Macaca mulatta: one gene and its partners. The protein of the gene in region 3 purifies or fractionates together with the protein of the main gene of each other region. This does not show direct contact. Links are inferred from orthologs where the notes say so. Each region holds a gene or a part of one and is shown on either strand. Other genes may lie near its edges.

Evidence for each region.
Region 1: the proteins of YAF2 (region 3) and MGA purify together in Homo sapiens (affinity purification with mass spectrometry; 5 studies listed by BioGRID and IntAct, counting the BioPlex papers as one, with this or other methods). This does not show direct contact. The link is inferred for Macaca mulatta from reciprocal best matches to the Homo sapiens genes YAF2 and MGA.
Region 2: the proteins of YAF2 (region 3) and BCORL1 purify together in Homo sapiens (affinity purification with mass spectrometry; 5 studies listed by BioGRID and IntAct, counting the BioPlex papers as one, with this or other methods). This does not show direct contact. The link is inferred for Macaca mulatta from reciprocal best matches to the Homo sapiens genes YAF2 and BCORL1.
Region 4: the proteins of YAF2 (region 3) and WDR5 purify together in Homo sapiens (affinity purification with mass spectrometry; 4 studies listed by BioGRID and IntAct, counting the BioPlex papers as one, with this or other methods). This does not show direct contact. The link is inferred for Macaca mulatta from reciprocal best matches to the Homo sapiens genes YAF2 and WDR5.
Region 5: the proteins of YAF2 (region 3) and E2F6 purify together in Homo sapiens (affinity purification with mass spectrometry; 4 studies listed by BioGRID and IntAct, counting the BioPlex papers as one, with this or other methods). This does not show direct contact. The link is inferred for Macaca mulatta from reciprocal best matches to the Homo sapiens genes YAF2 and E2F6.
Region 6: the proteins of YAF2 (region 3) and TFDP1 purify together in Homo sapiens (affinity purification with mass spectrometry; 3 studies listed by BioGRID and IntAct, counting the BioPlex papers as one, with this or other methods). This does not show direct contact. The link is inferred for Macaca mulatta from reciprocal best matches to the Homo sapiens genes YAF2 and TFDP1.
Region 7: the proteins of YAF2 (region 3) and CSNK2B purify together in Homo sapiens (affinity purification with mass spectrometry; 5 studies listed by BioGRID and IntAct, counting the BioPlex papers as one, with this or other methods). This does not show direct contact. The link is inferred for Macaca mulatta from reciprocal best matches to the Homo sapiens genes YAF2 and CSNK2B.

Annotation. Positions count from the first base shown.
Region 1 is NC_133412.1:19,154,313-19,156,852, forward strand, and holds part of MGA (MAX gene-associated protein), read left to right. Parts: intron 1-806; coding exon 807-2,083; 3' UTR 2,084-2,540. UniProt on the Homo sapiens protein: Functions as a dual-specificity transcription factor, regulating the expression of both MAX-network and T-box family target genes. Functions as a repressor or an activator.
Region 2 is NC_133426.1:136,431,939-136,436,028, forward strand, and holds the start of BCORL1 (BCL-6 corepressor-like protein 1), read left to right. Parts: upstream 1-1,290; 5' UTR 1,291-1,677; intron 1,678-2,219; exon of another isoform or gene 2,220-2,623; intron 2,624-2,962; 5' UTR 2,963-3,073; intron 3,074-3,924; exon of another isoform or gene 3,925-4,052; intron 4,053-4,090. UniProt on the Homo sapiens protein: Transcriptional corepressor. May specifically inhibit gene expression when recruited to promoter regions by sequence-specific DNA-binding proteins such as BCL6.
Region 3 is NC_133416.1:49,172,033-49,176,012, forward strand, and holds the start of YAF2 (YY1-associated factor 2), read right to left. Parts: upstream 2,801-3,980; 5' UTR 2,747-2,800; coding exon 2,721-2,746; intron 2,568-2,720; exon of another isoform or gene 2,542-2,567; coding exon of another isoform or gene 2,489-2,541; intron 2,278-2,488; coding exon 2,152-2,277; intron 397-2,151; exon of another isoform or gene 10-396; intron 1-9. UniProt on the Homo sapiens protein: Binds to MYC and inhibits MYC-mediated transactivation. Also binds to MYCN and enhances MYCN-dependent transcriptional activation. Increases calpain 2-mediated proteolysis of YY1 in vitro.
Region 4 is NC_133420.1:8,377,343-8,381,340, reverse strand, and holds the start of WDR5 (WD repeat-containing protein 5), read left to right. Parts: upstream 1-1,198; 5' UTR 1,199-1,245; coding exon 1,246-1,334; exon of another isoform or gene 1,335-1,462; coding exon 1,463-1,626; intron 1,627-1,866; exon of another isoform or gene 1,867-1,985; intron 1,986-2,040; exon of another isoform or gene 2,041-2,735; intron 2,736-3,998.
Region 5 is NC_133418.1:113,370,518-113,374,696, forward strand, and holds the start of E2F6 (transcription factor E2F6), read left to right. Parts: upstream 1-1,379; 5' UTR 1,380-1,637; coding exon 1,638-1,745; intron 1,746-4,179. UniProt on the Homo sapiens protein: Inhibitor of E2F-dependent transcription. Binds DNA cooperatively with DP proteins through the E2 recognition site, 5'-TTTC[CG]CGC-3'. Has a preference for the 5'-TTTCCCGC-3' E2F recognition site.
Region 6 is NC_133422.1:107,803,496-107,807,563, forward strand, and holds the start of TFDP1 (transcription factor Dp-1), read left to right. Parts: upstream 1-1,268; 5' UTR 1,269-1,301; exon of another isoform or gene 1,302-1,459; intron 1,460-1,735; exon of another isoform or gene 1,736-1,990; intron 1,991-2,333; 5' UTR 2,334-2,397; coding exon 2,398-2,409; intron 2,410-4,068. UniProt on the Homo sapiens protein: Can stimulate E2F-dependent transcription.
Region 7 is NC_133409.1:150,652,918-150,657,013, forward strand, and holds the start of CSNK2B (casein kinase II subunit beta), read right to left. Parts: upstream 2,801-4,096; 5' UTR 2,754-2,800; intron 2,171-2,753; 5' UTR 2,160-2,170; coding exon 2,088-2,159; intron 1,140-2,087; coding exon 1,037-1,139; intron 474-1,036; coding exon 358-473; intron 1-357. UniProt on the Homo sapiens protein: Regulatory subunit of casein kinase II/CK2.

The DNA of each region.
Region 1 (2,540 bases), on a different chromosome or scaffold from region 3:
CGGTACTGTTTGGTGTGTTTTACACCTGGTATTGAGCACCATTTTGTGAACTCTAGTAATTTCTAAGAGGAAGAATAAAAAAGATGTCAGAGGGAAAGGAAGATGTTAAATAATCACGGTCTTAGGTCTTGGTGTTGATAAATATTTGTCAGTTTCTTGTGGTACTCAGAGATGATAACAGTCCTGCATTACGAGCCTCATTCACTTTGAGCACTACTCTGTTTTGGGGCAAAGGGTAAAGTTGAAAGAGAATTCTCACTTGGGTGATTAGGTGATAAAGGTAAAAGGGTCTCTTTAGTAATATTAGGTAAAAGGTAAGGGTCTATTAAGGTAAAAGTGTCTCTTTAGTAATATGAAGATCCTCATTACTTTATTGCTATTGCCAGCCAAAATTCCTTGTCTCTACCTCTTGCCAGACTCACTCTGGAGGACTCATCTTTTCCTGGTTCCCATGCTGCCTCTAGGGCTTCATTTTCTGTGCTAAGTAGCAGTTAATTGGGTGAACAGAATCAAGATGTATTTCTGCCTTAGGACAAGAATTAACTTGGGGGAGCATTTCTATAAAATAGTTAAATGGAACTTTAAAAAATGGTGGAAAGAGCCATTTGGTTGGATTTTAGTTGAGTTTTTTCTTATTGGGTTAGGTCAGTAATTTGAAGAGCTGATACTTCTTTCATCTTGATAAAAGTAGAGTGCTGAATTTAGACTACAACTCCCTAAGATGGTCATATGGTATGACAGAGAGAGAGAGATGCTAACTCTGTAGATCTAAATGAATTTTTCTTTTTTTAATTTTTGTTTTTCAGAAAACGACGACTTATTTATGATGCCACGAATTGTTAATGTGACATCATTGGCCACAGAGGGAGGTTTGGTAGATATGGGTGGCAGCAAATATCCTCATGAAGTTCCTGATGGCAAGCCATCTGACCATCTGAAAGACACCGTCAGGAATGAAGATAATTCCTTAGAGGATAAGAGTAGAATCTCTTCCAGAGGAAACAGAGATGGCAGAGTGATGTTGGGTCCAACGCAGGTTTTTCTGGCAAACAAAGATTCTGTTTATCCACAAATAGTTGACGTTTCCAGTATGCAGAAAGCACAAGAGTTCTTACCTAAAAAGATTTCTGGTGATATGAGAGGGATTCAGTATAAATGGAAAGAGAGTGAATCAAGAGGGGAGAGAGTGAAGTCAAAGGAGTCTTCATTTCATAAATTAAAGATGAAAGATCTCAAGGACTCAAGCATAGAGATGGAACTGAGGAAAGTAACATCAGCTATAGAGGAAGCAGCTCTTGATTCCAGTGAACTGCTAACTAACATGGAAGATGAGGATGATACTGATGAGACACTGACTTCACTGCTCAATGAAATTGCCTTCCTTAATCAACAACTAAATGATGACTCTGTTAGCCTGGCTGAACTACCCAGCTCTATGGATACAGAGTTCCCAGGGGATGCTCGGCGGGCTTTTATCAGTAAGGTTACTTCTGGAAACAGAGCAGCTTTCCAGGTTGAGCACTTGGGAACTGGTTTGAAAGAGTTGCCTGATGTTCAAGGGGAGAGTGACTCTATCAGTCCCCTCCTCTTGCACTTGGAAGATGATGACTTTTCTGAGAATGAAAAACAACTTGCAGAACCAGCCTCTGAACCAGATGTCCTTAAGATTGTTATTGACTCTGAAATAAAGGATTCCCTCCTTTCCAACAAAAAAGCTATTGATGGAGGGAAGAATACTTCTGGCCTCCTTGCAGAGCCTGAAAGTGTGTCCTCACCCCCCACCCTACACATGAAGACTGGCCTGGAGAACAGCAACAGCACAGATACTTTGTGGAGGCCTATGCCAAAGTTGGCCCCTCTAGGTTTAAAAGTAGCTAATCCTTCCAGTGATGCAGATGGTCAGAGTCTCAAGGTGATGCCTTGTTTGGCACCTATAGCTGCCAAAGTTGGGTCAGTTGGACACAAAATGAACTTAACAGGGAATGACCCGGAAGGCCGGGAAAGCAAGGTGATGCCTACATTGGCACCTGTTGTGGCTAAATTGGGCAACTCGGGGGCCTCACCAAGTTCTGCAGGGAAATGAACTTACTTGTCCTTAAGCAGAAGCCAGGCTGTGAGGGGAAACTGATCTCACCTCCTTTCTCTGCAGGCATCTGTTTGTTTGTGTCTTGGAACTTGGATCCTTGACTTGGATGATGCAGTGGATAATGATGGGAGAAAGGGGGTAGGGTGCTGACCCTGGTATTAAGAAGTACTCTGAAATTCTGATCATGTTAAAATGTGTTACCTCACTTGTGGTGCTGGGTCCCCTCATCCTCTCTAAGAAGATGTGATCCATTACTGAACACGAGGTGCCCCTCTTACCCAAGGAATTTATAACAGGACTCTGGCTCCACAGTGGTTTCTAGTTCTTCCCCCACAAGCGAAAGAGCTGTTTGCAACTTTGGAGTTGCTGTGGACTGAACTGTAGCTTGTAGCTGTTGAATTAAGTCTGAAATCTAAGGAATGTGATGGACTTGTGCAAAGGGATCTAGAAGAGA
Region 2 (4,090 bases), on a different chromosome or scaffold from region 3:
TCTTGAGGAGAGGTTCCCAAAGCAAAATAAAATGGCCAGCGCCATGTCCACGTTGCTGGCAATAGCTTTTGACGGTGGTGAGCACAAGCAAGAGGGGTCCTAGAACACCAGGCCTCAGGCAACAGCAAAGCCACTGCAGCCTTAGATAGCTTGCTCCAATGCTCACCCACATCCCTCACACCAGGTGAGGGAGACATACCAGGCAAGGCTCAACTGCCATCTCTAAAGTACTTCCAAAGGAGAGAAGACACATCCAAGCTAAGAGATGGAACCTCTGGGCCTAGCAGGATCGAGGTGGGGTGGGGAGGAGGAGGAGGAAGACATTAATCTGGCAGGGCTTCCTTCTAGTCCAAATGACCCTCTGACTTCCTCAGCATGGATAAATATATAACAAATAATATCAATATATCTGCACATAAAGACTTTTTTCGAATTCCTGCTATTCATTTCAAATTCCGTTTACAAAGCACTGAATCCTCCAGGAACTGCTGGGCACCTCCCCTAATACCCTCTAGGCTGAGGCGATGCCTTTGAAGTCCCTATCACGGGCTCAGGGCTGGAGCTGCTAAGAAACACCCTAAGACTGAAAGCAAATCGGCCGGCAGCTTCAGCTTCTTCGCAAGCTGCTAGCTGCTCTCCTCGGAGTCAATGTAAAGTCATCAGAGTTCGAATGTGGACCGCAAGCTTCTCAGCCCTTCAGTCCCAGGGATGATCTGGGATGTAAACACACACGAGGGTTTATTCCTTTGGCCAGGCAGAGAGTCGTTAGGGTAAAGGGTAAGGGTCAAGGGGGCTCGGATTGGTGACTGAGGAGCCCAAGGAAAGCCGGCAGAAGCGAGTCCTCTTAGAGCTGGGCTTTTGGCTCCGAATCGTGCAGGCTTCCCACTTTACACAGACCTTTCATCCCCTTCCTCCTTCTTCCTCCCTCGGGTCTCTCGCCACCCGCCCCCCACCTCGCCTCCATCCCCAGATGCCTCCACGCCCAGGTGGTGTTGCCCACTGAGGGTGGCCCAGGGGGTTTGCAGCCGGGGAGGTTGCCACCACGGGTGGGCCGCCCCGGAGACGAGAGGCGAGGCGGCGAGCCCCGGCATTTTCCTTTCCCCAGCACCTGTCCCACTTCGGCGCCGGGGCTGGGGCTGCGCCCGCGGGCGGCCTCGGAGCCTGAGCGCCAGAACCACGCACTGAGGTCGCCCAGGGTGGGGAAGTAGGGGGCCGGGGGAGGGGCGGGGCATCCGGCGGGGACGTCTTCCCCACCGCATGCAAGACCCTTTGCGCCCCCCCAACATACACTGAGGCTAAAACAGGGGGAAGAGAGTCACACAGAGCACGAGCGAAATCGCTCGCTCTCCGACCCGAACAGCGCGTTGCTCGACCCCCCCCCCTTCCTGGAGCCGGGGGCTGGCCGAGGAAGGTGGCTCCGTTCTTCCCCCGTGGCCAGTGCGGGGTCTGCGGCTGCCCGGCGAGGTTCCGGCTTCCCCGGGCTGGCAGGGGGAGCCCCGAGAACTGCAGGCCCGCCCCCCCTTCCTCCTCCTCCTTCCCCTCCTCCCCCACGTGTCCTCCCGGAGCCCAGCGGCCTGATCCCAGCACCCCCCGCCACCTCCCTCCTCCCGCTTCGCCCGCTTCCCCGGCGGCGTGGAGAAGAGCAAAGTTGCGACAGCGGCTGGGGGCTCTGCCCAGGTAAAGGGGGCGCCGTGAGGCGGGGGTGGTGGGCGAACGGTGCGGCCCTGCGGCGGGGGCGGGGGGAGGATAAAGAAACTTGCTTCCCGCGGCCCCCACCCCGCGTGGGTTCCGATCTTGCGTGGAACGAGCCCTCGTGGCGAGTCGCGGCAACACCGCCGGGACCGAGGCCGGCACCTGGACCCGGACCCGGACCGCGCGCTTGGGTCGGCTCGGCGGGCGCAGGCAGCGGGCCAGGCCAGCACCCAGGCAAGGGCGGGGTGGGTGGCCGTACACCGGACCGAATCGGGGACTCCAGTGGCGTGGGCGCAGGCCGAACCCGGACCGGGCCGAGTTGGGTGGCGAAGTAGGACGTGGATTCGGGGGCGGGGCGCGGCGGGAGGGGGAAACCAGGCCTGGCCGGACTGGCCTGGGCGTGGGGGCGGGGGGCGAGTTCGGGGCACTTGCTGGGCTCTGGACCGAGCGGTAGGGCGGGGCGGCGCTAGGGGCTGGGCCGGACCCGCAGGGAGAGGGCGAGGGGAGGGAGAGCCGGGGGTGGAGTAGGGGCGTGGAGTTGTGGAGCGGGGTCTGGCCTCGGCCGGGGGCGAAGGTAGATCGGCGGGGCCGCGAGCGGAGGGAGGGAGGCCCGCGGCAGCGCGGCGGCAGCGAAGGCCAGCTTCCGCGGAGTTTGTGCCCGGGCTTCCCGGGCTCCGGCCGCCTCACGCGCACAAATGGGGCTAGGGGACTGAGTGGTAAGCAACTCCGAGTGTTAGACGGTGATCGAGCGGCGATTCCGGGAAAAGCGAGGAAAGACACCGTCTGCGATTATGCCGCACCCCCCACCCACCTCTTAGCATCTGGATTCTGCTCTCATAGTGGGGGCCGCGGACCCTCCCCGCCACAGTCTTTTTACTCTCCAGCACTCCCACCTCCTTTCCCCTTCTTCAGCCATCTGACTCTCCTAGGGGTATGTGTTTTTGGGGGTGGACGGCGACGGGGGTGGGGGATACTTTCCTTCCCGCGGCGACAACCTAGTTCGTATCTTATTCCTACAAGGTAGCGTCGCTTCGAGTCGCGTGGACATTGGGGTTTAGATAATTTACCCCCCACCCAAGCGATTTAATGGCTGTTAAGCAAAAGGCGAATACCTGGATTTCCATGGCAGGGATGAGGTTTGAAGATTGGGATTCAACCCCAGCTCACTTCCACTACCAACCCCTCTTTCTTGTGAGCCACTTCCACGGGTATCCAAACCTGGGGGGGAGGGGGGACGGGAGTATTAATATGCTTCTCTATTTCTACACAGGGTCGGCGTGAGGAAGGACGGCTAGCCTTGGAGGGAAAGTAGCCACCAGTCCAACTCGGGTCACCCCCACCATTATTTCGGTGAGGGGGCAACGCTAAGAAGGGGATACTGGTGGGTAGGGGCCCAGTATAAAGGAGGGGGCTGGGTAGTTGTCCCCAGAGGGACTCCGTGTCTTGGCGGGGAGACAGAGAGGCGAGCCCCGGCTTCAGGGGAGGGGTTCCGGGGAGGGAGATGGGGGGGTGGCGACGACGGTAGAGGGGGGCGGGAAGAAGGGGGAGTCACGCCCTGCCTGCAAGGGGAGCCTCCCTCAGGCCCCTGGGAGAAGGGGACTGAATGCGTCTGTTCTCTGCTGCCCAGCAGAGGAGATCTGGGGTCTCGAGATTTGCACACTGGATGGGCACCAGTGGCCTGAGAAAGTCAGGTCGGGGCATAAGGTGGAGAGCGTTGGAAGAAAGAGAGGGAACCCCTCGGCCGCGGCCCACTGACCCTCTCCCTTCCTCAACCTCCCCCTTCGAGGGGCGTCGAGGCGGGGGGGGCGACGTGGGGCTCCTGCAGCCCCGCAGATTGAGCGCCTCCGCCTCTCTCGGGAGTCTAGCTTTTTGCCCGGCTTGCTGCAGCCACTGCTGCCTCCCTCTCCGGAATCCGCTCGGTCCTCTCAGCGATCCCCTCCTCCTCTCCTCCCCTCCCAGTGTCACCGGGGCTGCTTGGCTCTGCCCCCTTCGCCGCCGCTTGCTCCCTGCTTTCGTCCCTCCCTCTCTTGCTCGCTCCCTCCCTTCGCCTCCTCCTCCCCATTCCCCCCCACCCGCGTAGGCGGCATTCTGGGAGTTGTAGTCCGGTGGCGCGGGGGTTGGCGCCGCCCGCGGACCCAGCCGGACTCCACTTCCCGTCGAGCCCTGCGACCGGCACCCACTCCACCAGGCTTCGCTCGCACACAGACACACACACACACCGCTCTCCCCCTCACTCTTTCGCTCGCCGCGGCTGCTGCCAGTGTGTGGCTCTGTCTCTCCTCCGCTTTGCTGAGCCCTCCCTTCTTCCTCTCAGTTCCTAGAGTCCGACCGCCGCCGCTGCCGAGAGAGAGGAGAAGGAGGTCGGTGGCGATAAGGGGCGGAGGGCGGCATCAGATCG
Region 3 (3,980 bases):
AACACTTACTTTCAGGAACACAGTGTCCCTTAGATTTCTGGTGAGTTGCCCAGAGCCTCTTCAGTTTCAATCCAAATGACAATGCTTCTCTGAGTCCTCCTCAAGTAATGTTTCCACCACTAAAAATTGGATCTACAAGAGCTCGGATGTACCGGTTAAAAACAAAAAAAAAGTCAGGGGCCCCCAGGTGGGCCTCAAGCCTCTTTTAAACTAGGCCCACTTCTCTGTCCTGGGCCAACTCCCCTGTGTACTATATTCCTTCTTCTTCCAGGTGCCAGGTATTCAGCCTGTTTCTTCTCTTCTGAGCTGCCACCACCTACTCTATTTCTCAGGGTTCCTCTAACCCCAAGACTGGCTGTGGAGTAGGACACCAGCTTCCCCCCTTCCTTGCTGTCCCTGCAAATAAACATATAGGCTCTTCTAGTTTCAGTATTTTTCTAATGGCTACAAGAAAATAGAGAGGGAACAACAAAAAGCAATAATATATAGTACCAGAGATCAAGATTATAATAATTGTCTCCACTTTAATGTTCCTGCCTCCAAAAAACAAATTTTCTAAATATTGTTTACTAAGCATTTTAAAAAGCACAAAGTACTAACACGGATATACAAATACACTCTAAACCAACTCCAACCTTACACAGCAATTAAGATACTCTGCTTTTCAAAATACTTAAATCACAAAACACGGGTCCAAAAATAGTAACCACAATCATTTTAGCAAACACTTTTTTTCTTTTTGGAATGTTCTGTTGTAATCCCTTAAATTTAGCATGTCTAAAAGTTGGCTTTCTGAGCATAAAAAATGTTCAAAATATTTTATCCACTGTAAATGAGAATAAATGGGTCCAAAATTAGTAACCACAATCATTTTAGTATATACTTTTTTCTTTTTGGAATGTTCTGCTGTAATCCCTTAAATTTAGAATATGTTTGAAAATTTGCTTTTTGAATATGAAAAATGTACAAAATATTTTATCCATTGTGGGAATATACAAAAAGCATATAATATTTACAAAAAATAAGCATGTCAAAGCCAGCGAGCTTCACTGAGAAAATTTTCAAATAAGTTACTGTCAAGCATTCCTGTCTCTACATTTCAAACTTAATAAAATTCTGTAGTGTTTTAAAAAAAAATCAAGATCACATTTTTTAGAAATCTAAGGTCTACTGAATATTTGCATATGTCAATATCATATATGCCTTTTTTAAAGCAACAGTAAGATAGATTAGTATGCTTATTGTTATAGTTTAGTCCCTAATGAACTTTGTAACATCAAAATATATATCTTCTCTACATATTAAGTAATAAATCACAGGATTATATTTAATTCAAAGGGTACCTTCCTATAAAAATCAAGGAGCTCGATAACTAAGTGCTGACAGATTAAGAATGCCAGACTGAATTTCCTGGATGATTTTCTTTATCCACTTAATTCAAAGTCGTTTTTTAAAAAACAGAGTTATTATACTGCAAGCTTACAATAAATAAAGTCTGAAAATGGGCAGAGATCTTTTCATCTCATTTGTCTAAGAGACTGCCATTTAATCAAACTAAAGATATGCAGGTACTTTCAGTAAAAATCTGTTCCTGTGACTGGGCTCATCTCCAACTACTTATTTATAAAATATTAGAGAACTGGAATAAAAACACTAAATAAAACCTTGATCTGACCCTTCCAGAAGTCCATATAGAAAAGAAGTTTAATATATTGTGTATTCTGCAATCAGATAGTTTTCTTTTTTTAGGAACGAAATTAAATTACATCCTTTGCTCCTAAAGAGGATTTTATGGGTTTTCCTTGATCCCTACACACTAACACAACAATGCAGCCAACATTTTTATACCCAGAGTGGGGAGAGGGACATTACACACGGCGATACGAATTAAATCGCAGTAGCTAATGCCTCCCATAAATAATTTATTCTCTCTTGGCAGCAAAAAACCTTACAGCCTCTTCAATTACCCCTCACCGCAAACCATCGCCTGGGTTGCGATCAATGTGACCCAGTTCCTATCGCCACAGCCACCTCCGTCTCGCCTCCTCCCGCCGGGTCCGCGAATGTCATGGGAGGGGGCGGCAGCCGCAGGGGCGTCCCCTGGTCGTCACCCCGCCAGCCGGCGGCGCGCGGGGCAGGCCTGGGACTCACCGGGTGGAGGTGCCCTTCCGCACATCGCACATCATGCACTTGAAGGCCTCGGCGCTGTTCCGGAAGGTGCAGACGCTACAGTCCCAGTAACCCTCATCCGAGGACGGCTTCGGCTGCCGCTTCGGCCTGCAGGACACAACCCGGACACGACGCGGCGCGGGGTCACCAGCAGGCCGCGCCCGGCGCCCGGGCCCCGCGGCCGCCCCCGCCCCGCCCCCCGCCCCAATTCCGCGACCCCCGCCCGGCGGGCCCCCGGCGGGCCCTCGGCGCGCCGCGCTCCGGCTCCAAGGGGGAAGGAAGTCAGGAAGAGGCAGGGCGCGAGCCCGGCCGCACTCGCCGCCGCCACAGCCGCTCTGACACCCGGGCTGCCGCTCCGGTAGCCGCCGCCATCGCGGCTCCATTGTGGGGCGGCCGGCGCCGGCCCCCTCACGCGGCAGCACTCGCACACCAGCGGCGCCGCCCCCGTGCTCGCCCCGGTGCCCGGGCGGCGAGCGAGGCAGCCACCCGAAGCCCTGCACCAGGGCCCTGCCGCCCGCACAGTCCGGGCCCCGGGGCCCGGGCGCTGTTACCTGGTGGGGCTCTTCTTGTCTCCCATGGCTTGGCTATCAACGCACGCTGAGAGTCGCCGCCGCGGCCGCTCTGTTTGTCAATAAGGAGGATAATAAGCCGGGCGGAAGCGGGCGGGGGAGGAGGGAGGAAGGGGGCGGGGAAGGCCGCACCGCCGCGCTCCGGAGCCGCCGCCGGATCCCACGCAGCCTCCAGCTGTCGGGGAAACTCCTGCCTGGGCGCACGTGACCCGCGCCCGCCAACCAGCAGCCGCGCCGGAGACTTCAAACGCGGCCAGCGCGGCCCAGCACCCGCGGCGAGTTAGCCGGCGGGCGGTGCGGAGGTGGACGCCTCGGCCTCGGGAGCCGGCGCCGCCTCTCCGCACTGTTGCCCTGTCGCCTTCTCGGTACCCACGGCTGCCAGGGACTGCCGCGCGCTCCAGAGCCCCTCTGAGGAGGAAAATATCTGTCCCACCGACTGGCTTGGGATGCTCAGTCATCCCGTGCGAAGCCTGGTCCAAGGTCTGGCATTCGGAGGCCTGTCCAGGTCTGGACAGAAGTGCCAGCCCGGGGTCTCCAGGTAGAACGACTTTCCTGGCCGCCGTCCTTAGCTACTCAGTCCCCGCCTGCAGGACACCACGGGGAAGGCGGGAACCAACACGCAGCGCCATTGCTAGATGCCTTAAAGCGCTACACAGATGCTCAAACAAGTAGGGCTTGTCACCCCTAACTTATAGGAATCGAAATCAAGACTCAAGAGAGGTTAGGTGACTTCCTCTGGGCTACATAATTAGAAAATGACAAAGCCAGGAGTCTAACTCTGCTCTAATTCCAAAGGCGCCCTTTTGGCCTCTCAGGCCTCTGCAGTAGCTGCTTTTGAAAGAAACCCAATACATACTCATAAGGCCTTTTTAAATATAAGGAGTTTGCATGTCCCCTCAACGCTGTCTGCTAACAAAAGAACACCTTCCCAGGTCTCTTTACCTCAATATACTAAATAAAGGTCCTCATACTCCAGACTCCAGCAACAGCCATCAAACTGGTCTCCGAAGCTCCACTTCCACCTCCCCAATCGATTCAGTAGTCCACAACCAGATGAATAATAAAATGCTGTTAATATTATGCCACCACTCTGATCAAGAACCACTAACGACTCCCACACTCCTTAGCCTGGCATTTAAAGGCTTCACACATTTTCCCTACCTCTGCATCCCTCTCCCATGAGAAAAGCTGTCTCCTGACAATGCACATGGGTTACTTCTGCATAAACTAGATCCCTCTTTA
Region 4 (3,998 bases), on a different chromosome or scaffold from region 3:
TCCACCTGCCTCAGCCTCAGACTCAGGTGATCCCGACCTCAGGTGATCCACTCCCCTCAGCCTCCCAAAGTACTGGGATTACAGGCGTGAGCCACCGCGCCAGGTGGGATTATCTCGTTTTTACTAGAAGGCTCTATCTCCTGGGGGTGGGATGGGGTGGTGAGATCAATTCACCTGGAAGTGGAAGCTGGGAACCTGGTTTGAGTTCTGATAGTTCTGGGGTCCAGCCCCTTATCTTGCTTCGCCTGGAGGGCTGAAGGACTGGAAATACTTTTGTTTTGGGGCTGGAACGCGGGCTGCAGTTTGGGAGGCGGCGGTAGTTTGGAAAAGGAGGCGGGGTCTGGTAAGCACTTTACCCGAATTGGGCAGTGGGAATTTGGGAATTGAGGACAATGGGAAGCTGGTTCTGAGTTTTAAACTGGGGAGTGACAGATCAGAGCTGGATTTTTAGGAGTTTCTCTGTCTGCAGGTTTAAAAAAGACCCGGGTGGGAGGTAGGGCTGGGGTGAGGAGGGAGAGAAGTGGACGATCTGAGAGCTGAGGCGGGGTGGAAGGGAGAGCAGCCTGTCAGGGGCTCGGGATTCCGGCCCAGGCGGCCAGAGATAGAGATGAGCTTCTTTCTCCGAACTGGGTTTGCTAACCTGTGACTGTCACTACTCCATGCTCCAGGGCACCTGGCCCAAGGGATCAAGCCTTTTGGGCACACAGATCCACCTGGAGCCCTGAAGGACCAGACAGGGACCTCGCCTTCTCTGTGTCCTTCCTGGGAAGGGGACTCCAGACCAACTGCCAGTCTTCCGGTTCCACCTCTCTGACAACCGCTCACCTCACCCTCCTTGGCATCTTTATTTCAAACGCTCTGTCCTTTTGTTTGCACGGGTTCCTGTGTCACATTCTGTGTTCCCATTTTTAATTGGAGAATAAGGGACTGCGTTATTCTACCCACAGGCCTAGCTGAGGGGATAGGGAGGCCGTGCCTACCTCCAAGGCTCTACGAAGTGAAGCAGGCGAGAATGTGCAGTCGTCGAGGCCAGAGGACCGGGCCTCAGCTTCTCCTTAAGACCCTGAGTCCTCCTCTGGGGACCACCCCGTTGTACCTGGAGGAGAAAATGCCCGCCCAGGAGGGAAGGGTTGGCCCCCAGAGAGCCCGCTGCGAAGTGAGTTTGCGCACTGCGGAGTGACTCCAGCGCGGCTCTGCCAGTCCGCGGGGCTGGCGGGGAGCAGGTTCGTGCACCGCGGGCTCTGCATGCAGAGGCGGGAAGCGCCCGCAGCCCGGCAGCCGGCCCAGCGGGAAGGCGCAGCCCGGGCTTCCGAACCCTGTGAACGAACGCGCAGGTTCCTGGTCTTCCAAATGGGCAGGAGTCGTCCTACCTGCCTGGGGTGGGAGGCCACATGGGGGCACTGCGCCCGGGAGCGGTCCCGGGTGTTTTCCAAATGCCCACTGCTGCTCTCATCCGTACCAGCGATGATCAAGAAGGGGCCTGGTCGCCCGGGGAGGTGCCCCGGTCCGACTTGACTCCGGGGACAACGCCGGGCGACGCCATCTGCGCAGGTCCCGGAAGGCCGCTTGTGTCTTTGTGCAGGGCGTGCTGTCTGTGGAAACGCGAGGGCACACTAGCACTTTCCTGTATGTATCATTATACTTCAATTTTTAGGAAGTACATTAGGAGGGCCTGCACCAGCCAAATTCGGGGATTAAAGCTTTTAAGCGGGAAGCACGCGCCCCGTGCTGTCCCTTTAAAGCGTTGGGCCGGCCCGAGGCATTCTGGCCGCTGCCGCTGCCCGTAGCGCTCCTCCGAGAGGCCGGCTTTGTGAGCTCGCCCCGCCCCCAGGACACCGCCCCCCTCCCCTCGCGCACGCGCACTGCGCCCCCGCCGCCTGGCGCCCGCCCGAGCTGCCGCCTCGTCGAGCTGAGTCCGCGCTCCCGCCCAGGCGGCGGCCGACGCGACGCCCCGAGCGCCCGGCCCCGCCGCCGCGGCCCGGCAGGTAAGCGGGTAGCCGCCCGGCCCGGGGAGCGCAAGGCGGGCAGCGGGGCGGCGCCAGGAGCCGCCAAACCACCCCCGGCCGCCGCACGTGTTCCCCGCCGGGCCTCGGGCCAGGCCCAGCCCCGGGCGCTGCTCCAGCTGCAGCGGCCCCGCCCGGGACCCCCGCCCTGGCCTCTCGGTGGACGGCTGCGCGCGTAGGCCCCTCCACCCCGTCCGCCCCCACTCGCGCCCCCACCTCCGCTTCCCCGGCGGGCCACTGACAAGGCCAGAGCGCCGGCACTGGGGCCTCTTTCCCGCAGGCGGCGTACCGGCCTCACATCGCCCCTCTTCCTCCTCTGCCCCTTCAAGGAAGGACCCCAGACCCACCAAGCCACTCAGTCCCTGGACGTGGTGCGCTTCCCCTCCTCGTAGAAACGCCCCCAGCCCGCTCCCGCCGCTCACCCCAACCCGAGGTAGCCAGGCTGCAGTTCGCTAGGTGGGGTCCTGGGGTGCGGGTCCTCGGTCCTAAACGGGGGGCCCACCGTGCCTCCTCGCGCGGGGCCGCAGACCTGTCCTGGCCGATCTGCGAGAGCCATTTTGAGCGGTTACGTTCCGGGACCAAACTGAGGTCGGCCTGTTATTTATCGCTAACGACACTCCCTGCTGTCTCGCTTGCAAGTTTCCACTCACCCAGGTCCGTTTACCCATCTCTTCAAATGCTAGTTTAATCTGTGACCTGGGCAGGTGCTGTGCTAGCCGGTGGGGAAGACAGGTAAGCGAAGGACCCAGGCGGAAGCCTGTCCAGGATCTCAGAGAGGTAGAGCCGGGTTCCCACCTGTGTTGGGCTGGCCACCTGGCTGGTGTTGAAGATGCAGATTAATTCTTGTCTTTGCACACAGTGTGCTCTCCTGACTGCACGCCGCAGGCAGGTTCCTGGGCTGGATCTCAGGGACTGAGGGACTCAGGCATCAGCCTGTGGCATGCAGTCCAGGAGGCCATACTGAGATTTGGTTGCTGGGCTTCAGGTGGTCAGGCTTACCTGGATGAAAAGCAGTGGCTGCTAGGTGGAGTCAGGCAGCAGCTGGTCTAGAGGTCACCTCCTCATCACCGTGCCTGTAACCTCGGTCCCCCCCCTTTCCTCAGTATCAAGTCTCCAACCTTCCTGTTCCCTCAAAATGATTGTTCCACAGAGACACCTGGTTGGTCATGAAAATGCCAAGCCTTGGCCCAGCGCGGTGGCTCACGCCTGTAGTCCTAGCACTTTGGGAGGCTGAGGCGGGCGGATTTTCTGAGGTCAGGAGTTCGAGATCAGCCTGGGCAACATGGCGAAACCCTGTCTCTACTAAAAATACAAAAAAGTAGCAGGGTGTAGTGGTACGCACCTGTAATTCCAGCTACACAGGAGGCTGAGGCACAATAATTACTTGAACCCGGAAGGTGGAGGTTGTAGTGAGCCGATATCGTTCCGCTGGACTCTTTGGACTCTGTCTTAAAAAAAAAAAAAAAAAATGCCAAGCCTAGATGCCACTACTGAGGTAGAAACTTGGCAGGTGTGTTGGGTCAAGAAATTGCATCTCTCCCCCTACCACCACCACCACGGAATTTTTCACTCTTTGGCCCAGGCTGGAGTGCAGTGGTGCAATCTTGGTTCACTGCTATCTCTGCCTTCCAATTTCAAGCGATTCTTCTGCCTCAGCCTTCCCAAGTAGCTGGGATTACAGGGACCCGCCACCACACCGGCTAATTTTTGTATTTTTAGTTGGGACGGGGTTTCTCCATGTTGGCCAGGCTGGTCTTTATCTCCTGGCCTCAGGATCTGCCCGCCTCCTGCCTTGGCCTCCCAAAGTGCTGAGATTACAGGCGTCAGTCACCACACCCTGCCACTGTATTCTTAAAAGTCAGGTTAAGGTTGTTTTGTTTGTTTCTTTTAAATGTTAATGGTTTTTGAGCCCAAAGGGTTGGGCAGGTTGGGCTTGAGCTGGGAGGGGCTGGGCACCTTTTTTGTAAGACCGCCTACCTGTTGTTCCTCATGTGA
Region 5 (4,179 bases), on a different chromosome or scaffold from region 3:
TACTCTTAGCTACGTGGGAGTCTTAACTGGGAGACCACTTGAGACCAGGAGTTTGATGCTACAGTGAATTATGACCATGCCACTGCCCTCCAGCCTGGGTAATGGGGAAAAAAAAAGATTAGAGACCTCTGACATCATAGTCTAGTGGGGAGCCAGCTTCTTCAGGGATTTCTCCCTACCTCACCTCGCCCACCTCAGGCTGTGTAGAAACCCCCAGTCTAACCGGTTGTTTCCCTCCAACTCTGTACACACCACGGTGTGTTACCTTTTTATTTCAAACATGTGCTGGCCTCTGTTCTAATCACAGCAACCTGTATCCATTAATCCATTTAATCCTCACAACAACCTTATCAGGTAAGTATTGTCATTATTCGCATTTTCCAAATAAGGAAACTGAGGCACAGGCAGATTAAGTAACTGGCTTAATAAGGTCTTCTGGTTTATAAGTAGGAGCCAGGATTTGAAAACACACCTCTGGCTCCAGCTTAATTAACATGCTCTGTTTACTTATCTGTCCCCACTGAAATTGGAGGTTGAACCTGTGGCATATCCAAATGAGTAAGTATCGCCTGTGCTCACCCCAATATCTGACACTATAGGTCCACGATAACTCATTCATCAAACAGGAAGGAGGGAGGAAGGAAGGAAGGAAGGAAGGCAGGAAGGAAGGAAGGCAGGAAGGAAGGAAAGAAGGCAGGCAGGCAGAAGTAAAACGATACCACAATGGTTTGGTTGCTCACATTTACTAAGCATCAACACTGACCCGCCTGTAAGATGTGCTAACAGAGCTCAGGAATAAATGAAGGCCGGGCGTGGTAGCTCATGCCTATAATCCCAGCACTTGGGAGGCCAAGGTGGGAGGATGGCTTGAGCCCCAGAGTTCAAGACCAGTCGGTGCAATATACTGAGACTCTGCCTCTACTAAAATTAAAATTAAAAATTAGCCGGGCGCAGTGGCGCGCGCCTGTAGTCCCAGCTACTTGGGAGGCTGAGGTGGGAGGATCGCTTGAGCCTAAGAATTCGAGGCTGCAGTGAGCCCTGACCACGCCACTGCACTCCAGCCTGGGCGACAAAAAAAAAAAAAATTAAAATTAAAAAAAGGAATAAATGAACATCTTTGCGGCTGAGAGCTTTCAGTTATCACCGTCGAGAATTCCAGGCGAGCGCTGCGTTTTCCCAGCTGCCTGTTTTCTCTCACCCCCGTTCCCTTCCTCTGGAATCCGGCTCCACCTCTTCCTTTTCCTTTGCCAGCCTCTCCGTGGATTCCGCGGTCCGGGTTTCCCGGGCGCCAGCCGCCGGGAGAGGATCAGTGCGTGGGAGCGCTCCGGCCGCGGCGGGCATGCGCAGAGGGGGGCGGTACACTGCGCATGCGGAAAAATGGCGGGCCGGGCTACTTGAGAGCCGCGGGTTTACCTCCTCCTTTCCCGTCTTCGTCGGGAGTTCCCGGGCACGTGAGGCAGTGCCGCGTTTGCTGGCGGGTGGGACGGCCTAGCCGGGCGGGGCCTTGGAGGACGCCGCGGATCCGTCAGTTTCTGGGCCCTTGGAAATCGGCGCGTGGGGGGCGGTGATCGAGCTGCGCGCGAGAGGGCGGGAGAGCTCGCGGGGTGCGAGGGGAGCGGGACGCCCGGCCGGGCAGCATGAGTCAGCAGCGGCCGGCGAGGAAGTTGCCCAGTCTCCTCCTGGACCCCGCGGAGGAGACGGTTCGCCGTCGGTGCCGAGACCCCATCAACGTGGAGGGACTGCTGGTAAGCTCCGGGACGGGAGGGGGACGGGCGGGGGTCTCCCAAAGCTGGCCCCCTCCTCCCCGCGCCGCCGCCAACCCCGCTGGCCGTCGTCTCGGTCGTCTGCTCCCCCTGGGCCAGGCGCTGCCCATCACGTGCTGCGAAACTGCGCTCTCCCGCCTTCTGCTTTCAGCATCTGTTCACAGACGTGGTGTCAGTCTTCTGGACTTTTACATCGGAACTTCAGGGCACTGTTGGAGAAAATTGCTCAACTTTGCATTGGAAAGGCCATGTTTTTCTCCTTCAGTGGACTCTAGCTGTATCTCTGCAACCTATCATTTGTTCTTCTACCTTCTCTCTCTTCTGCTCTACTGCAGCCGTTTAAAACCTTGTCCACGCTTTATATTTACCACGCCACAGCTCCCATTCATAAAATTATCTCCCCACCTGTTTGACGGAGAAAATGGTTAGGAGATTTGGCTCCCTTTCCCACAAAGACTGATTTCTTCTACTCTTGTTCTGGACCAGATACTGTATTCCCCGGTTCTCAAGGTCCTTAACAAATGCGTTCTTTTCCATTCCTCCCGTATTTTCTTTTTCTTTTTTTGAGATGGAGTTTTTACTCTTGTTCCCCAGGCTGGAGTGCAATGGCACGATCTCAGCTCACTGCAACCGCCGCCTCCCAGGTTCAAGCGATTCTTCTGCTTCAGCCTCCCATGTAGCTGGGATCACAGTCATGCGCCACCACACCCAGCTAATTTTGTATTTATAGTAGAGACGGGATTTCACCGTGTTGGCCAAGCTGGTCTCGAACTCCTGACGACCTCAGGTGATCCACCCGCCTCGGCCTCCCAAAGTGATGGGATTACAAGGCGTGAGCCACCGAGCCCGGCCTCTCCCCATATTTTCAATTTCTCTGCTGCTTTCTTCCTATAACTAGTAGTAATTAAACATTTTCCCAAGTCATTATGCCTGGTCCCCATACCAAATAGTTTGTGATTATTGTCTCATTTAATTTCTCACAGCAGTGTTTTATAATAGTAAAAGACTATTATTCTTGTTTTACGGTTGCCAAAACAGACCTGGAGATGCATGTAATGCCGGCTTGCCTGTGGCTAGATAGTAAGTGGAGAAACTTGGGTTGAACCTCCAAATGTCTAACTCCAGATGATAAATTCTTGACTACTAAAACCACATTCTCAATCCATCCCCATCTTAAAAGATCCCTCCCTTAATTCCATATCCCTTGCCATCTACTGTCTCTCTTCCCCTTCACAGCTAAACTTCTTGAAAAAGTTATTTACACTCACTCTTTCCACTTGATCGTCTCATTATCAGCCAACCCACTGCTGGGGACCCCTATCCTCAGCACACTTGTGAGACCATTCTAACCAGGGTCACCGACAATCTCGTCAATTCCAGCAGCTGTTGTAGTTTTGACACAAAACTACTTGTGTTGGAAACTCTCCCTTGAGTTTCCTTGACATTGATGTTCCATCTGCTTCTCTGGGCTCTCCTTGTCCTCATCCTCTTCCCAGTCCTTCATTTTTTTTTCCCCCGAGACAGGATCTCACTCTGTCACCCTGGCTGGAGTGCAGTGGCACATCCTGGCTCACTGCAGCCTTGACCTCCCAGGCTCAAGTGATTCTTCTGCCTCCACCTCTCTAGTAGCTGGGACCACAGGCACATGCCACAAGGCCTGGCTAATTTTTTTATTTTTAGATATGGAAGTCTTCCTGCGTGGCCCAGGCTGGTCTTGAACTCCTGGGCTCAAGCTGTCCTCTCACCTCAGTTTCCCAAAGTGCTGGGATTACAGGTGTGAGCCACCGTGGCTGGCCACATGTTGATGATATTCAGGGTTCTCTTCTGCTGTCTCTACACATTCTTCTTAGGGGAGTTCATTCTCTCCTCCCATGACTTATGTTACCGTCTACATTTGATCCTTGAACGACTCAGGGTTTGGGGCACCAAATCACATGAAATTCAAAATCTGAATATAACTTTGATTCCCCCAAAACTTTACTGTTTCCTGGAAGCCTTACTGATACTGTAAACAGTTGATTAACACATATTTTGTATTTACATGTATTAGTTAGTGTATTCTTATAATAAAGTAGCTAAAGAAAACGTTATTAAGAAAATCATAAATAAGAGAAAGTCCTACTCATTCAGGGGAATTAGATGATCGTAAAGGTCTTCATCCTTGTCTTCACACTGAGTAGGCTGATGAAGAGGAGTAAGAGGAGGAGTTGGTTTTGCTCTCTAAGTTGTGGCAGGGGGTAAAGAAAATTGGCATCTAAGTGGACCCACACAGTTCAAACCTGTGTTGTTTGAGGATCAGCTGTATATTGGTACCATCTGTATTGGTCGTCTTAATATTTGAGAATTTGATAAAAACTCTAAGCTCACTGTGGAAAAACCACTTAGTTTGCATGCAATATCAGCAGATACATCGCTT
Region 6 (4,068 bases), on a different chromosome or scaffold from region 3:
TTGCCTGAGGAGCAGGAGTGGCCAAAATCAGCATAAAATGTGCAAAGCGGGCTGTCATGTAATAATACCCTGCATAGGCAGAGAGGCCTTTGGTCAGCTCCTCAAGTCCTCCTAGACTTACGCTCGGTGCGCACCGGCCTCTGCCGCCAGCTGTGGCCCTGAACTTTGGACTCTTCTCTGGCCTAGCCCGCCCTTGGCTGGGGTGCTCGGGCCTGGCCCTAGCGGCGGGGCCGTCCAGGGTGGACTGAGTCTCCAGGACTCGGGGACCACCAGGCTCACCATGCAATGAAACTGTTTCTGGAGTTTTCCTGTCCCTGCTTTCCCTCCCGAGTCCCGGGCCAGGCTGCGTCCAGTGGGCACAGAGGACACCCAGAATTGTTGGTAATCTGGGGGTAGGCCAGGCATGGGCTTGGAGGTCACCGGGTCCAGCAGAGGCAGCGGCCTCTGTGCCACGCACGCACACACACCTCTCTTCCGTGTGTCCACATACACACGTCTGTGCACACACCTGCTCTCCATACATGCACAGCCCCACACACAGTCGGCCCTTTATGTGCACAGACACTCGTGCACACAAGCGGCCCCCTCCCTCCGTGCATACAGGCGCGCACACAGCTGGCTGTCTCTCCTTTGTGAGAGAGAGCTCAAGCACACACCCGGCCCCGCTATTCGCACACACACTCCTGGACACACTAGTCCGTGCTCCCCCCTACACACATGCACACAGCCGGCACTCTCTGCTCCCTGCACACACATCCTGACACACCCGGCCCCCCACCTGCTGCCCCATGTGCACACACACTAGTGCACACACCAGTCCCCGCCCCCTCACATGCACACACACTAGTGCGCACACTACTCGCTCCCCTACGTGCACACACCAGTCGCCGCTCCCCCACGTGCACACACACTCGTGCACATAGCCGACCCCGCTCCCCCATGTGCACACACACTCTTGCACACAGCCGGCCACCTCTCTCTCCAGACACACCGTCACAGACGCGCACAAACGCGGCCCCTTGGCCTCCGAGCGCACGCCGCGCGCGCTCACTGCCCGTCCCGGCGCAGGCCCCGGTTCCATCTCCGCACGCGCACGCGCACACGCGGACACGCGCGCACGGCCCCTCCCCGCCCTCCCAGGGCGCGCAGCACTGGCGGGAGGAGCGGGAGACCGAGGAGCTGCAGAAGAGGAGGAGGAGGGCGCCGAAGGCGCGAAAAGGCGCGCAGGCGCGCTGCGGGGCCCGCCGCCGCCCACGTCACCGCGCCGCGCGCACGTCACGCCGGCCCGACGCTCGGCCAGGGTGAGCCCCGCGTCCCGGCGCCGCTCGGCCCAGGGCAGGGACCCCGCCACGGCCGGGACCGCCCGGCCCGGCCCCCGCCCGCGCCTCCCTGCGCCGCCCCGCGCCCCGCACCGCGCCCTTTCCGCGTCCCCGCCCGCGCGGCCGGACCGGGCAGCCAGGTGCGGGCGGGCAGGGGATGCCGCGGGAGCCGCGGGCGGGGGCCGGGGGTGCGGGCGGGACCCCCGGCCACCCCATCCTGTGCCCCGGCCGCGTGTAGGCGCCGCGCGGCCCCGACCCGCGGTCTCCCGCGCCCTCCCGCGCCCCGCGCGCTCCTGTGCCTCGGGGACCCCGCGCGCTCGGCGCTGGTGGGGGCTCCCCAGGTGACCGCGGGGCGGGGGTCCCGGGCCTGGCCCTCCTGGCCGATAGCAGCGCCCGCGCCCCGCGCCGGAGGTGGGGCCAGGGCCAGGGTCGGCCGGAGCGCGCAGGGCGGGGGAGGGGATGCCGCCCCACGGCGGCCCGCGGGGACCCGGTTCCGGCGCGCGCGGGAGGCGCCTCGTGCGGAGGCGGCCCGAGGCCTAGTGACAGGCGCGCGGCGCGGACCCCGGAAGCCCACCTGTCAGAGTTACCGGTCAGCCAGGCGGGCGCCGCCGGGGTCTGGGGTGGACGCCGCGAGCCTGCACGTTGCGCCGGGACCCTGGGGCTGCGCCCAGGTGGGTGGTGGGGCCCCCCCTGCAGCGGCGGGAGGGAGGCGCTGCGCCCTGGCTGCCGGGGCTCAGCCCCACCCTCGGCCGCTGGGCGGGCCGTCGGGGACCTGGGGGTCGTGGTGGTGACCCTGCGGGCCCGCCGGCCACTTTTGCGCAGGGGACATTTCCGTCTGACGAGGCGACTTAAAATCCTCAGTGTGGGAGTCGGTTTGGCCAGCTCCGCTCTCAGGATGGAGGGTGCCTTTGGGAAGGAAGGTCCACGTTTCCTTTGAGATGTGTTATTTTTTCAACTTCTTTTTTCATTCTTACTTATTTATTGTTTTTCCTTCCTTTTTTTTTTTTTTACCAGAAAAATCATTTTTCTTCTCTGGGAAGGTGAACATTTGTAGCATTTATTTCCCGGATCTGGTAACATGGCAAAAGATGTAAGTATGTTTGCTTCATGCTGCACACGAATGTTTGCCTCGCACTAAATTCTTTGTAGTTTTCTGCCTTTATTTCAGAATGACAACGCATAAGCTACAGTAGTGTTTATTTTCAGACTTTTAAAGCATCTGAAGCGGGATGAAGGTGAAAGATGGAAGGATCTGATCTCTGAAACTGCGCTCACCACCCCCAAGTTGTGGCCTTGGATACCACACTGTGCAGTTGGGTGGTGATGGGGTGGTGCCTTCTGACTTTCTCCTTATCTTTACCGACTGTGTTAATTGCTAATTTTGAATAAACTCCTTATTAAATTGAGGTGGAGGGTGTTGCAGCACCGCAGCGAATCCTCCATTTCTTGGGGGCTTCCACATAAGATCCTGGACGGGGGCCAGGCTTAGGTCTCAGACTGTAGCCACCTGCTGGCACCTGTCTTTCTATAGAGGAAGTTAATTCCACTTGGGTGGACCAAGAGCTAAGCAATTGTTTTGGCCACTTTTTTTTCTCAGAAGGATGAGATTTGGTGGTTTATGAAATCTGGTAAGAAATGCTACTTAGCCTGCTTAGTATTTGTCATGAAACTATAGAATATTTTGAATAATTTTTTAAACTTGTGTGGGGATCGAGGCTTTTAAGGCCAGAAATGTACTCTATTTTATTGGCGTGTGGTTCTTTACTATGCTTGGTAATGCTGGTCACTGAAGCAAGCTGGATTCCTTAGTGTTTCCCATCACGCATTGCTCTGTAACTGTGAGTGAAAGGGGTTGTTGATACAGCTGTAGCGAAAATGCATCCGGAGTGTGGAACCCTCTCCATCGACGCAGAGGTTTCAGTGGTCCCTGTGAGTCCTTGTGGGGCGTCTGCCCTCCCTGACCTGTGACCACCTACGTCACACGGTGTCCCTGGCTTCAAGCACTGGGATGTGCTTTAGAGAGGGCATATGAGCACACAGGTGGACCCAATGTGGGTTTTTGAAGTCATATCTGGGTGTGCTGCGAGGCTACTTTTACCCTATCCACTGTGCTTGTCCGTACCATGCCCTGACCTCATGCGTGCATGCACTCAGAATGCCAGATGTGGCCATGTGCTCAGCGCGCAGCCGTGTTCATTACGTCTCCTCACAGTGAGGAGCTGGGCCCAGGGCCTCGGTTAGAGCACGCTTCTGGTGTTGTGTGGTTTCCTGTGTGGTTTCCTCAAATGGTTCTTAAACACGCTTTGATACATAATGGGTGGTGTCACCGGGGCCCTCATTCATTCCCCCTTGATTTCATTGGCACTGTATGTGAACAGCATGTAGTGTGAGGCTGGGGGTCGGGGGCATACAGAAAGGTGATCCGACTCTGCGGGACTCCAAATGCTCTATCCAGTTTTGGCATTTGAGACGCGGCATTTGTCAGGGGTTGCATAGGCACAGGGCCTGGGGGCTTACCTTGCGCTCAGGGGTTATGATCTGAGTTGGGGGCTGGCGCTGGGAGGAGAATAGGATTCTACAGCTGGTGAGGCCTTCCCTGCTCAAAGTCTGGGAGTGGTCAGGAGTGCTGGGTCTGGCTGGAAAGGGAGATTGTGGACAAGTCAAGGAATTTGATGTTTTCTCTAGCTCTTTTTCTTTTGAGACAGAGTCTTGCGCTGTCTCCCAAGCTGGAGTGCAGTGGCGCGATCTT
Region 7 (4,096 bases), on a different chromosome or scaffold from region 3:
TCCCCCACTCCTCCCACCTCTGTCCAGAGGCCCCTTCTCTGGCCCAGATGGGCTCTCAAACTCCTATGTTGCCTTTCTTCCAGTTAGGCAGGCTACAAACCATCAGAGCCATTTGTTGTTTGTTCCCTGAGGAAGAGGCAGTCTATCACAACTCTCTGTTCAAGGACTGTCTCCCTCCCTGAAAATTATCCCTTCAGGATGACCCCCAATCAGAATTCAATTCCCAGGCCCAAGCCTGGGGTTCTTCTCCTCTTCTCAGCCAGTTTCCTTAAACAAGGCTTAAACATGACTTCTTGCTGCAGGAACCTGTGTCCCTTACTGCTCAGAAGGAGGCAATTAGGAGCAGAGAGGCCTCACCATCTGGGCAATGCCACGGTTGGTAAGGATGTAGCGGGCGTGGATCAATCCATAAAGCATCTCGGCAGCCTGCTCAATCAGGTCACTCTGGTTGGGGTTGTCTTCCAGTTCTTCATCTGAAACACAGCCCGGCCAAATGCAACCACTTGTTTTTCAGCTTTCCTAGGTGCCCTGCCCATATCCAGGGGGTGCGGACTATTCAGTTCGCCTGGCACCTACTTTTGGGCCTTACCCCATCCAACATCTGGGCATGTGACCCAGAAACCTGGGCTTCTGACCCTTGCGCCAACCCAAGACAGCTCTGTCTTCTCTTCACACCTCTTTAGCCTCCGCTCCCCACTCTCCCTCCCAGCTCCCTCCCCAATACATAACTGCAACAATGTCAATGCAAAAGATGAAACTCTAGACTGGAAGGTGCAAAGCAGGAGAAATAGCAAACCAGACCCATGAGGAAACATATTTTGGAAAACATCTGAATTGTGGATTTAGAAAACATGGGAACAAGTGATATACGTCACAAAACTAGACACAGTCAGGTGGAGGATCAAAATAAAGCATGAATTTGGGGTTAAAGAAATCAGAGAACCAAAGGAAATTTCAAAATTCAAGTAAGTGAATATAGATTTGAAGAGAAAAAAAGTGCATGCACACACACAAAACAACCCTGAGGGTGCCTCACCAGGCTCCAGGTCCAAGATCATGTCTAGAGCTTGTCGATAGTGAGGAACCTGCTCATTGAGTCCAGTAAGATTAAATTTGTCCTGAATGTAGTCTTCATCCACCTGTGGGGACATGGAAGCCAAGAGGGAACCCATATCAAAATCCCCATCTTTGACCTGGGCAAAATGCTCTAACTGATGCCTTATCATCAACACAACTGCATCTGTTCCGCTTGTTTCTCACTCCCAACTCAGCAGAAGTACTTGCGTCTCTCCCTAGTTCACCTATACTCCCTCCCATAAAGCTTTGGCTTTTCTTTTCTAAGGATAAGCAGGTACAGCAATCTTTTTCTTAGACATTCTTTTCAAGATCTCTGTCCCTACTCCTGTACTCCATCTCTAGGAACCAGTTTTGTCCTCTCAGCTGGCTGAGGAGGATGGAAGCTGAACGGCATGGTTTCTGAACAAAACATTTCAATACGTAGCATTTCAATTTTCCTAACAGCCAGCTGAGACATGTACTAGCAGTACAACTTTAGTAATAAAAGATACAGGCTGGGCGCAATGGCTTATGCCTGTAATCCCAGCACTTTGGGAGGCTGAGGCGGGCAGATCACCTGAGGTCTGGAGTTTGAGACCAGCCTGGCCAACATGGTGAAACCCTGTCTCTACTAAAAATCCAAAAATTAGCCGGGTGTGGTGGCGGGTACTTGTAATCCCAGCTACTTGGGTGGCTGGAGCAGGAGAATCGCTTGAACCTGGGAGGCAGAGGTCGCAGTGAGCCGAGATCGCACCACTACACTCCAGCCTGGGCGACACAGTGAGACCCAGTCTCAAAAAAAAGATAAAGAAAAAGACACAAATTGCCTGCTGGAGGGTGGCAGAGTCAAAACTTGGGCCCCAGTTTTGCCACTTTAGCACAGGTTCGTCGGGGGTTATTGAGGGGACTCTTCGTTGATGGGAAGTTTTCAAGTAGTATGTAAGAGAACAGTGTAGAAGTGGAATACGTGAAGGAACATCTGGTGGGAAGATATGTGAAGCCAGCAAGTAGGGAGGTCGAAGAGAACTCACTTCACAGAAGAATTCATTGCCACGGAGCCCACAGAACCAGGAAATCCAGGACACCTCCTCTGAGCTGCTCATCTTCACGTCAGCTGAAAAAAAGAGTGTCAGTAAAGCTCAAGTTCTCCTTCCCTGCCTCGGGTATCCTCCCTCCTCCCACATTAGAACCACCCTTTCTTAAAGGATCCCAAACTCTGAAGCACTCCTCTCCAACTCCTCCAATTTACATCTCAGTTCCCTTTTCTTTGACGTTAAACATTCTTTGGGGTCCCACCACTTGAAAGAAGCCAACAGATACTTTGACCCACCAGCCCGACCCACGTCCCTGGAGCTCCCGAAAGCCAGGGCCCTCTCTTCTCTGTGTCAACTCCGGCAGGGACCTCGACTCAGGCTCCGTACCAATGCAAGTCTCTGCACGACCCCGGCGCCTTTCCCAAGGATTTCAAAGTTTATCACTCTCAAGCAAGAATCGGGCCCCTCCTTTTCTCAAGGGTTGGGGGCGACTGTCAGGTCCCTTTCACCGGATTCCACACATCCCCCCTCCGCTCCTCAAGCCACCTCTCCCTCCTTGCCGGACCTGGTTGCTTCCTCCCCCCGCCCCCATATCAAAGTGCGGAGACCCATGTGCGGCTCCCAGCGACAAGCGACTAGGAGCAGCGAAGACCTCAGACTCACCAGCTGGACGGGGACCAGGACTGGGGTGGGGTAGGGAAGTTGCTACTTCGAAGGAACGGCGGCGACCGCTACAGCGCAGGCCGCGGACCCGACCGCGGCAGGCGAAGTGGGGTGGGGGGAGTGGAAATTGGGGAGGGTGGGGAAGAGGGCAACACGCAAGCGCCAAGGGTCAGGTGCCGCGGTGGATGCCGGGACGCGGAGTCCCCGGTAGAGAGAGAAACCGGCTAAGTGAGGGAAAGCGAACTACCAATCCCAGGATGACCCGCGCACGACCTGGCTGTCACGAATCCCCGGAGGAGGACGCTTGCGGGCGGGGCGCAACGAGAAGCCACCGGAAGCGGAAACCAGGTATGGCGTTCGGGGCCTGGGAGCCTGGGCAATACAGTTGTGTGCTCACTGGGCGAAGAAGCTGACTTAGGGCGGGGAAAGGAGGGAGCCAGGCTGGACCCCTCCTCGCAGCTCTCCTCACAGTTGCCCTCTAGTCCCGGCGCGGTGCTGCTTCCCTGGGGACTGGCCTATCCTTGGCCAATGCGCTGGGTCCTTATTGCCTGTTGGGCCCCTAGTGCGAGTCAGTCCCGCCAGAGACCCTTGACGGGCCTTCTGTTTTACTCCGGGCTCCGGCCTCATGAGGCGAGAGGTGCGGCTTGGCTCCGTGCGTAGGGACTTGGGTTGGGAGGGCTGGGCTGGGCTGGGCTGTGTGAGAACCAGAACGGCCCAGTGCGCTAACCTGAGGTGGTGCCAGCCATTCTGCTCGTCCCCTTGCACTTCTCCATTTCCCCTTAGTCTCTAAGTGTGACCTTCGAACCCTGGTCAGAGTAATGGTGAGGGGCAGGCGTGACGTTATTTCATTACACGGCTTCTCGGCATTCCACAGGTTTCCCTCCGCCTCCTGAGGGCCTTTCCTAACCCAGAGAGTGGATTCCTAGCTCCAGAAAATGGGCTTGGAGCGGGGGCCACGTAGAGGAAGGCGAAGGGCATTGTGGGGGCGTTATGTAAAAGTAGGACCCCAACCGACAGATCCTAGCGCTCGCGCCACCTGGGCGCGCGGAGCTTTGCTCGTTTACTATTGGAAAAGTTCCAGCGCGGGAAACTGAACCGGGAGCTTTGCGCACGCCTGAGCCATCAAGTAATGTGGGTGGTGGTTTTTGTTGTTGTTGTCGCCACGCATGCGTCTCCGTGCCGTGTGGCTATTTGATTGTGTCAACTCTGCTGATCAGAATAGCGCCATTTTGCGGTACGGAAGCTACACGGCAACACGTATAGGAGCCTCTCCCCGAGATCTTCTAGGGAGTGACCCGTCTATTTTTGTTTGGGAAGAGGAAACTCCGAAATGGGATCACGGA